2 linked regions of the Nothobranchius furzeri genome follow. The protein of the gene in region 1 interacts with the protein of each later gene in a biochemical or structural test. Links are inferred from orthologs where the notes say so. Each region holds a gene or a part of one and is shown in the gene's direction. Other genes may lie near its edges.

The links.
Region 2: the proteins of copa (region 1) and cope form a complex in vitro, tested with the Homo sapiens proteins (3 studies listed by BioGRID, with this or other methods). The link is inferred for Nothobranchius furzeri from reciprocal best matches to the Homo sapiens genes COPA and COPE.

The regions. Positions count from the first base shown.
Region 1 is NC_091751.1:41,092,243-41,097,781, reverse strand, and holds the start of copa (coatomer subunit alpha), read left to right. Parts: upstream 1-2,301; 5' UTR 2,302-2,457; coding exon 2,458-2,497; intron 2,498-2,776; coding exon 2,777-2,890; intron 2,891-2,969; coding exon 2,970-3,043; intron 3,044-3,173; coding exon 3,174-3,254; intron 3,255-3,547; coding exon 3,548-3,624; intron 3,625-3,859; coding exon 3,860-3,969; intron 3,970-5,539. UniProt on the Homo sapiens protein: The coatomer is a cytosolic protein complex that binds to dilysine motifs and reversibly associates with Golgi non-clathrin-coated vesicles, which further mediate biosynthetic protein transport from the ER, via the Golgi up to the trans Golgi network.
Region 2 is NC_091748.1:57,727,337-57,732,833, forward strand, and holds the start of cope (coatomer subunit epsilon), read left to right. Parts: upstream 1-2,038; 5' UTR 2,039-2,095; coding exon 2,096-2,197; intron 2,198-2,359; coding exon 2,360-2,422; intron 2,423-2,528; coding exon 2,529-2,629; intron 2,630-2,783; coding exon 2,784-2,936; intron 2,937-3,772; coding exon 3,773-3,826; intron 3,827-4,031; coding exon 4,032-4,113; intron 4,114-4,403; coding exon 4,404-4,559; intron 4,560-5,247; coding exon 5,248-5,316; intron 5,317-5,497. UniProt on the Homo sapiens protein: The coatomer is a cytosolic protein complex that binds to dilysine motifs and reversibly associates with Golgi non-clathrin-coated vesicles, which further mediate biosynthetic protein transport from the ER, via the Golgi up to the trans Golgi network.

The DNA.
Region 1 (5,539 bases):
GAAGCTTTAAATTCTTACAGTTGTGAGGAAATTATTAACCTGAAATCAAACTGAAAACAACTAAGTGCATATTCCCTAATTGTTAAAACAATAACAGAATTGAACGTCTTCTGAAAGATTTCCAGCACCTTTTAACATGATCCATTCCTAATGTGTTTTTCCTCGTACTCCCAAGTTGAAGTGACAGACCTGATTCCTGGATGCCTTTGCTGTGGTTACAGTGGTCACTACATTGACTGTAAAGTGCTTCCTGTGTGATTCACTGTGTTTGCAATGTGCAGTGATGGTTTATATTGATGTGGACTTCCTGCAAGAAGAGACAACCCTCCCCAGAGTGGGATTTTAGTGTCATAGTTTAGCAAAAGAATGTGAGCATCTGTACATTAAGAGAGCCATTTGTTGTTTTCAGAAAAGTCAGATACAAAGTTGCAAACATCTCGTTGTGTGACATAAGGAGAGAAACATGTCTGTAAATCAAGCAGATGCTCTGAATGGATATGCATCAACAGCCTGATGTTAGCATTTTTATGTTTTGGCTCCAGTTGCTAGAGTTTGTTTACTTCAGTGACCCCTTTTCATCAGCTGCTGTGGCCCATGGGCAAAGGTTCACCTCAGTTACAATAGAGAGAAATCCAGAAGTGGCATGACCGTCAACCCGTCAGTAACTGCACAATAAAGGGGTACTGTGAAAGGATTTAGCTATGCACTAAAAAGAGATCAGATTCACATTGAATGCAGCTTTGTTGGGCTGTAAAGGTTTTCATCAGCAGGTGAGGGTTCTGGCTAATCAGTGCCCTGGGCCAACACAAACTCACAGCACTGAAAAACATGAAATAAACCATAATTGACACTTTTTGTTTTGTAAATATAATGATTAAAAATTATATATTACTTTCTTTGTCTTGTGGATTATTTGTAATGAATACTCCTGCATTAGTATTTATTGATGAAAGGCAAGTCAAGCACATTAGCTTTAGTGCATTCCTTTACTGCACATCAATTTGGACACTCATTGCTATTGAACCCCCAATAAATCCTTAATAATAATACATTCATTCAAACTTTATTTCAGACAAGGGATATGTCCTTAACAAGAATAAAAAAAGAAGTAAAAAACACATTCAAATTAAAAACCATATAGTTGTTCCAATGTTTAAAAAGGACTGAGGAGTACCTCGTGTCACTGTAAGTTAAAGATGACAGTGCTCTAACAACAGCGTTAGCTGACAAACTCAGTCGGCAGATGAATTTATACATGAAGAGCCTCAGAAGCGCATGAAAAGTAGGGATGTTATAACAAACATATGACTTGCCGAAGTCCATCTAGGGAGCTTCATGAGGATTCTAAAAGCATCCTGATAAGCCACTTGAAGCTTCTTCATTACTACCTTACTATAGCTGCACCACAAGTGGGCTGCATAGAAAGGAGTACAAAAGGAACGAAAGAGGGACACTTTAACAGGATCTGAGCACATACCAAAGTTACGTGCCAGAGTGTTAGCCTGCATGTACAACTTACCGCATTGCCTCTTAATATCCTCGTCATCACAGAGGTCACTTCTTAAAATGTGCCCCAAGTATTTTACTTTGCTTACCACTTTGAGGACCTGATTTGTTAAGTTAAAAGATGGAAAATTAAGCTTCAGGTCCCCTTTAGTAGCAGCAATCATAACCACACTCTTTAAACAGTATGTCAAATTGCTCACCATACTTAGCACATGCCCTGAGCAGCTGCTGCAGGCCTGCGCTATAGGGAGACATGAGGACTAGGTCATCTGCATATATTAAATGATTTACAAGGCAGTCACCCACCAAGCATCCAGTCTTGCTATCATTCAAAGTAACAGTAATTAAATGTGTTAATATAACGGCCACATTTGTCAATATACATATCCACGTGAAAAATCAATACAGAATATAGATCTAAAACCAGCAAACATAAATGTATTAAATATATTTTCGGACATATATATATATTTATACCCACCCAATATGGCGGTGACGCTGTTAAGCTCTCTGGCGCCTAATGTCGGATCTACATAAAAAGTCGGGGAGGACGGGAGGACTCATGAAAAATCTCAGTTTTCTTTTTTTTTTAAATTTATAATTCGCAATAACGGGTTTACCATTGTCATTTATATAACCGAATTATATCAGCTTTATAAGTTTGAACTCAATTTTCATTGGGACTTCCCAAGATCGCCTGTTGGTGCAGTTCGATGAGATCTATTTCTATTCGCCGCTGCCGTGGAGCTTTCTGCGTCAGAGGAAAACTTTATTGTCCATAACCGGAAGACAGAAGCGGACTACGTGTCAGGAAAAAGAAATCGGCTAAACAGGCGAAGGAGTCCAGGCCGTCCCTGTCATTTACACTGAATTTTTTTTTTTGTTCTCATTGATTACTTTTGTTTTAACCATAGTTTTAATATTAGGGTTTGAAGGGCTTAAACGGTGAGAATGTTAACTAAATTTGAAACGAAGTCGGCCCGAGTCAAAGGTAAGAGTTTGCCAACAACTAATAGCACATAAGCTAACATCGCTAGCTGGCGTGAACCTGATCAATTAATGTATTCTATAAAAGGAGATGGTTTTTAAAACATATTTTGCTGTTGTTATTTAAGTATTTACATACATTCGTCATACGTTCAATTTTCTGTATGATTAGCATTTTGCGGTTGCGCTCACATATGTTTGGGGTAGCTATCGTTAACGTATTTTGGGTTCCCAGCTCTTAAAGTGTGTTATTATATTTAATCCAGCATATGTTACATTTCAGGCCTGAGTTTCCATCCCAAAAGGCCATGGGTTCTTGCAAGTTTGCACAACGGTGTGATCCAGCTGTGGGACTATCGGATGTGCACACTGATCGACAAATTTGATGAACATGACGGTGAGACGGTGACGTGGCTATCGTGTTTGTTGATATTACGCACCTTTTTATAAATAAATAATTGTGGTTTTACCTGCAGGCCCCGTCCGAGGAATTGATTTCCATAAACAGCAGCCCCTGTTTGTGTCTGGAGGAGATGACTATAAAATCAAGGTAAGACTGCTATTAAAACTGGAATTATAGGAAATATGTTTGGGTTAGATTGTGGATTAGTGTTTGTGATACTTAAAACTTTGTCACCTTTTAGGTTTTTGTGTTTAATAAGTGAATTTGTTTGAACCAGGTGTGGAACTACAAGCTGAGGCGCTGCCTCTTTACTCTTCTCGGACACCTGGACTACATTAGAACAACATTCTTTCATCATGTGAGTTGGACTGTCACACTTTGTCCTAAAATGTATCTTTGGTGACTTGATGTATTGTTAATAGCTTTATTCAAGTCTCTTAACACCTTGGATATGTATCTAGAGTTCTGATCCTGATTTTTAATATAAACATAAACAGAACAACAGTAAAGAGATTGATACAACTTGAGTCAGCTTTGCATTTGGGTTTTAATAAATGACCTTGCTTAAATTTGTGAAGGTTCATAAAGTTTTTTTATGTTTGCGATGGTTGTATGTTGGCTTTTTTCATGAAATACTCACTTTACCTGTAGGAATACCCCTGGATTCTGAGTGCCTCTGATGATCAGACAATCCGCATCTGGAACTGGCAGTCCAGGACGTGTGTATGGTAAGACAGTTGGTGCACTTTATTATTTTACTAATCGTCGAGTCATAGTTTAGCTATTTGATTCGATACAGGGAAGAGTGTGGGTTCAAATACTCAGTAAATTGCTTTTGAGCTCTTTTCAGACATTAGAATTTTTATACTATAGGTCTGTTCTAGTTTTTGACTCGCAGCTTTCACTGCCCTGCAAACATTAAAGTTAGATTTTTCTTTCCCCCTCCCTTTTTGTGTCACCCAGTGTACTCACAGGACACAATCACTACGTGATGTGTGCCCAGTTCCACCCATCTGAAGACCTGGTGGTGTCTGCCAGTCTGGACCAGACCGTGCGAGTGTGGGATATCTCCGGTGAGGGCCTGGGATGAAAGGACCAGAGTGGACAGTGGGCTGGGTTTGGGTGAAGGGGTTGAGTACAGAGTGGAAGGAGGCAGAAACAGGACTAATACAAGTCCTTTACCTCTTCTTTCTCTCCAGCTCCTAGATGACAATTCTCTGTGGGCTCTTTGCAGAAACACCTCTCCTTTCAGGACCGAGACATTTATGTTGTTGCATTTAGGGATAACGTTGCATGGTGGCCTGGAGAAGATCTAGTGTAGTGTAAAATGGTCCAGTGAAATTGGAGAAGTGTTTCTGTATCTCTGCATGGTTTTAACACTTTTAATGTGTTTCCTTCTTTCTTTCTTTTTTACCCAAACTGAACAATTTCTTTGCTCTCATCTTCTTTAATTTTTAAACATGGAAAATGTGCATTTTTTTATTTATCTTGTGACCTCACTTGTGCTGGATTTGTGCTTTATATAATGTTAATATATTGAGCTTGATTGCATCCATTGCTGCATTATAAATGCTAAACTGCATGCTGTAACAATTCTCCTCGGTAGGTCTTCATGCTGATTTTGCTTTGAGAGATCACATTCAGTGGAAGGCCCCTGTTGTTTTGTCTCTCAAGTTCAATACGTTTTTAAAACTGAACAGTTACTAAAGTGGTGCAGTTGTTAGCACTGTTGCCTCGCAGCACGAAGGTTGCAGGTTCAAAACTCGCCTGCGGCCTTTCTGCGTGGAGTTGCATGTTCTCCCCATGCATGTGTGGGTTTCCTCCGGGTACTCCGGTTTCCCCCACAGATCACAACATGCCCTATAGGTTATAAATTGTAAGTCGCTTTGGATAAAAGTGTCTGCTAAATAAATAAACATAAACATAAAGTGTATATAAATAATACCCATTATTTGCATGATTGGCTCACCTTCTGAGTCTATAACATGGCTGTAGCCACCATAATATTATCAAGCATTGCTGCTAGTTTGTAACTAACTTGCCATTTTCTATTAACCTTGCATGCAGCTCAGTTACCTTGACTGACACATGCATGCTCATTCAAGGAGACAAACTCGTTCTCAAATCAGACATCAAACGCCCCATCAGAGCACGTCTTTTCAACACTTCCCACCACCCACCCCACTCCCATCAACCAAGTCCACACTGGCATCCATATCCCATGCTTTCCCTGGAAACATCCACGCCTGCACATAGGTTCCTAGTGCTATTTCCTTCCTCTTAGTGCTGTTGAGCTATCTGTTCACCACATAATCTTCCAATGGGCTGAAATCATGAATGCAATACTGTTTTCTTGTCAAATTTCCTTCCTGATTTAGTCTGAGTTCTGGAGATGATCAGTAAATCTACTGTGGTGTTCAGTTGAATCAGTCATTTCTTCTGGCGCTGCTACTGTGGTGATTGTTTCCAGATTCATCTTAATGAGGAAACGAAGGTTGTGTTTGTGTGTTTCAACCCCATGTGTGTGTGTTCAGTAGTCCAACAGTCCTATTTTTACTCTGAATTTGTTCTTTTGTTTTACATGATTTGACCCCATGTTTGATCATGTGGAATGATGTTTTGTTTTGTGTTCTTCCTCCTCCT
Region 2 (5,497 bases), on another chromosome or scaffold:
TGTGGAACGTTTTCTGTTTAGGCAATTTAGACAATAAACATAATCTTGTTGCATAGTTTAGCTTTTATTGAATCTGACTCAGTTTCTCATGACAATCACTCAAAAATGTTTAAATGAATAAATGAAATGTTGCATTACTTTATTAAGTGCATTGCTTTACGTTCCACACTATTACAGAACAGTTCAATTGGGATATCAAACGTTGAAGGGATGGGATATCTTGTTCTGAGGTTTATCACCAGGTCTCATTTGAATAAGTTCGAAAATAAGTAAATATGTGGTAAACAGGGGGAATGGACCAGCTTTAAGTATAGATCACATAGTTAAAAATAATTACTCCACAGTATCTTCTTTTATTATAATTTAAATCGATCAGAACAGTCGTTTAAATGCTAATCTCGGGAAATTTAGCAGCGGGTCGTTTTTATGTGTTTGACCAATTTCCGTTAGGTGAACATGGCGTCCCTCAAATTAAGCTAGTCTCATTAACACCCACCGTTAACCTCTCGGAAACGTTGCTGCAGCAGCCTCGTACTGAATTACTCGGAGGTGGCGTGAGTTCAGCCCCCCTCCTTGACAACAAATCTTTGTTCGTTAAAGTTTGAGAAGAAGTTTAATTTAAAAAACCCGTGAACCGCTAATATCACCGGGAACATGAACTCACCTTTCTCTACGGTTCACCGAGCCACGGGAGCGATCCGCCAGCAAAAGTTGACAAATTAATCAGAGCAAAGTCACTCAAGACTTCTTCATCCTTGCCACAGAGGAAGTGGTTTTACAACATATTCACCCCACTAACGTTACTTTTGTTCGCCGAATATCCACTATACAAAAGCAGTTCTCCGCTGCTCTTTTGTTCTGCAACCAGGCGCAGAAGTGTGAATTATTAAGAGTGTTTTCGTCTCGCGGACACTCTGAGATCGGTTACAAGTTTTCTGTTGGCGTAACCAGACTCCCCCCGCCTACTTGGTCAGAAAAAAAGTTTCAAACTTGATGTCGTTCTGAACCAATGAAAGAGCAACGAGAGGAGCAGAACAGCCCAAACACGCCCAAAGTAAAAGGCTCTTTAGGTCCAGCACACCCACTGCCCCCGTTGGGGTTTCCAGTAATTATTCTCGTCCAGGTCCGAATCCCACGGATGAAGATTTCCCTGAGGAAATGATGCTAAGGGAACAATGAACAGGAACCGTGGGGAGCAGTTTCTAAATCACCAGCAAACATGTGGCCCGTTCATTTTTGTGACATTTTTTTGGCACTTTTACTTATATTTGTAAATATCTGACAAAATAGAGCATTTAATGAGAGCATGCCTATTAACTATTACTCCTGGCTAAAACAAAAAGGAAAGTACATATCTCCGGGTGTTTTCAAGGCATGGGAAGTTTTTTAACAGCAGTTTAATGAGGCTGGCGGAAATTCCCTATGTCATATCCTTATTTTATTGTTCACACATCACTTTTTTTAGATCTGATAAATGGGCCAGATCATTAAATCATCAGCTCCAAAATTGAAACACAAGTATCTATCTATCTATCTATCTATCTATCTATCTATCTATCTATCTATCTATCTATCTATCTATCTATCTATCTATCTATCTATCTATCTATCTATCTATCTATCTATCTATCTATCTATCATCTATATCTATCTATCTATCTTGAAGCGCCCTCTTGTGGTTAAACGCGATAAGTCAAAATGGCTTCGTTCAGCTTTTTTTTTTTGCAGTGTTTGAACTTGATTCCTTTGAATTAATAACAATTAATAACACACTAATTAGAAATATAGGACGACAAAAATATTTACTTAAAATATATTTTAAAGTTAATTTTAACATAATTTGTGCCCAGTATAACTCTGCAATACAAGTATAAAATAATTTAAACATTATCCATGAATAGATAACGCCTAGTTTAAACATTATACATGAATAGATAACGCGCCGAGTCCACATTAAGAGGGGACAAATATTTTCTTCATGTCATTTTCGGTTCTTAGTTATTTTTGTTTTCTGAACAGCATTTCCCAGAATCCTTTGTAAAAAAGCAGGAAGCCTACGTAGCTTTGCGACGTGTCCGGAAGCTCATTAGCCAACATGGCGGCGCAACAGGGTGATGTTGATGAACTGTTCGATGTGAAAAATGCTTATTATATCGGTAGTTACCAGCAATGTATTAACGAAGCTCAGAAAGTGAAGGTAAGTGACGCATTTCCATTTATTTAAACGCTCGTTTTGTCGCGTTATTTATCTGTCAGTGTGGTTAACAGAGCAATTGAGCTAATGGGCTAACAACAACGACTACTCTTAATATTCTTGTTACTGATTTTGGTACTTACGTCTTGTGTTTGGTTTTTAAAGCCTTCGTCACCAGAGAAGGACATCGAAAGGGACATGTTTTTGTACAGAGCCTACATTGCTCAGGTACGTGTTGGTGGGGGATCAGCCTGATCTGAAGAGGCAGTGGACGTTATTGCTGACAGACAAAAATTCACCCTCTCACCGGAGGTTTTGTATTTCTTTGTTACAGAGGAAGTATGCTGTTGTTCTGGATGACATCAAGGCCAGCTCTCCACCTGAGCTGCAAGCTGTGAGGATGTTTGCAGAGTATTTGTCCAATGAAAGCAAAAGGTACAAGCATGCTTACACAATGCTCATTCATTTTGCCCCTAGCAACACAAACTATTTATATTAGTTAACCTCACCCTTTTGTGTAAAAATTGCTGTTCCAGTTGATTTACAAATTCATCTCTTGAGTATATTTTTACTTATTATGTTTGTTCAGGGATGTTATTGTTGCTGATTTGGACAAAAAGATGTCAAAGAGTGTGGATGCTGCCAACACCACCTTCCTGCTCATGGCGGCCTCCATCTACCACCATGAGACCAACTCTGATGCTGCTCTCAGAACGCTTCATCAAGGAGAAAGTCTGGAGTGGTAAGGGGGAATCCAGATTTATGTTTAAAGAGCAAGCCACGCCAAATCACCATTTTTTTTTTTGCTGATAAACTATATAAATGAGTGATTGGGCTGTAGACAAATGTAGTCAATAATTCGGCACTTTAGTGCATCTTAGTTCAAATTTAAATATTCTGCTTAAACCTGTCAGTGATGCACCATCGTCAGCTAAAAACTCGCACTACATTTTAATTTAAATCTGCCATCTCTATGGATAAGAGGTACACTATGATGTTAGATGGTAGATTATGATGTCACAATGTCGTGAGTGTGTATTTGTTAGTGGCTCCGCCCTCTTGTTCTGCTAGGCAACAGCATTTGTTGCATTTTTCAAACAGGAAGAGTGAGTTGAGTAAGAATCTGATGGGGGGTGACTTGCTCTTTAAGTCTGAATAGGATGATGCTTAGGATTCAAGGTTATTTCATTTTAACATATTACTCCAAAACTATGGAGCATATTTATGTGCTCTATTTAAATATAGAGAATATAAATATTCATTTATATAAATATTGAGAATATTAATAGAATAGCGTCTTTAAAATCATAGTTTATTCTAGGAAATTCTCTTGGAGTTTAATCTTACATTGTTAGAAAAATAGGTTAAAAGTAAACATTTATAAAGCTGCTTCATGGATTTGTGTTAAACGATAAAGAAGTGCAATTAAAAATGTATGCTTACAAATTTAGCATTCTGATTAATATAATTAAAAATACAAGAGTTGTTCTTTTTATTTTGTGAACTTTTAAATGTGTGGTTGGATTGTTTTATGGTTAAAAATATCAAACTGAGCATAATTCTGTGTTTATTTGTCAGTATGGCCATGACCATTCAGGTGCTTCTCAGTCTGGATCGTGTTGACCTGGCGAGGTATGGAGTAACTGTTTCACACCCTCAAAAATGTGTTTTCACGTACACACTAAAGATTGTTTACTAGTTGTATATGAGCTTTGATTATGGCTAACAGAGAATCTGCACATTATGACTCAAATTGTTTAATTTCTACATGACCTAATGGTCAAAATTAGCTTTTGGCTGTTTAATGAGGTATTTTGCTGCTAATTATTTATTACAGGAAAGAGCTGAAGAAGATGCAGGAGCAAGACGAGGATGCAACTCTAACCCAGCTAGCCACAGCCTGGGTTAATATTGCTGTGGTAAGAAATAAATATGAATTGTGTATGATTCATAAGTGAATGATCAACCACAAACTATTTGCTGTTCTATTAACTCTTGATGAAGCAAGAATTATTATTAGAGTGATACCACAAAATGTCAGCATTAATATATTGTGATTGTTATTTAGTTGGAACAAAACAAATTCATGCCTCCTCATCCAGTAAAGTCAGACGTAACAGGGTTCTTTACCACTAATATCATCTGAAAACCACAAGCTTCAGATGAAAATAAATAAACCCGTGTTGCTTTTGTGATTGCCTTGTTCCAGGGTGGAGAGAAGCTGCAGGATGCTTACTACATTTTCCAAGAGATGTGTGACAAGTACTCGTCTACTCTGTTGCTGCTTAATGGCCAGGCAGCCTGTTACATGGCGCAGAATAAGTGGGAGGAGGCTGAAGGAGTGTTGCAGGAGGCTCTTGATAAGGTTAGAGGACAGCAGTTCTGTCTCATCCTATCTGATGAGAGGAACTGGTTTATTGAATATTAACTGAATGTCTGTCAGTGTACCAGCAGATGGCAGCACATACTTTAGTGTTCAATAAAGCTCTTATTCACCTGCAAAGAATCAGTTATTTCACAGCAAAAAACTCATTTCCAAATGTTCGATTAATATAATAAATAAATCTTTAGTTTGGTTGTAAATATACGTTTTTTCATCTCAGTATTTATAAATGTGCTTTAATGTAAACTCTACAGCTTTGCAGTGTCTTGTGTTGGTCAGTGTTGATAAGTTTAATTTTTACAAAGCATCAGTTATTCATTGATATTCTCTCACTGTACAGGCAGAACAGGGTGTCGTGTAACTTTCAGCTCTGACTTTTCGATAAATAAATGATCCAAGGGTTAACTGCCTCCATAAAGAGAGGTTATTGTCCGCTTGTATAATCTCATTTTCACGTTTGTTTGAGAGGCAGAAATTTGGATTAGACAGGATCAGAGATTCATTCAACATCTTGTATAGATGAGAGGGGGAAATTGGTCATTTTCATTCAGATTTACCCTCAGAAAACACATTTAGGATCATTTTATCTCATCTTGTCTAGATTACACAAACTTAATGAAAATAAGCCTCCAGCTCTGCTCACATTGTATCTGTTTTTCCTCCCTATCAGGACAGCAGCCACCCTGAAACGCTGATCAACCTCATAGTGCTGACCCAGCATCTGAGTAAAGCTCCTGAGGTGAGACTTTGGACTCAGAAACCTTAAAAGCCCTTTCTTTTTAAAATGCATCAGTCGAACAAACTTCACCTGAAGTACATCAAACTTGTTTCCCCCGTGACCTTTGAAGCTTAAATGAAACATACACATTCATTCAACTATAGTAATCTGTTTTTGAATGGTTTTTAATCATCCCTTTGAC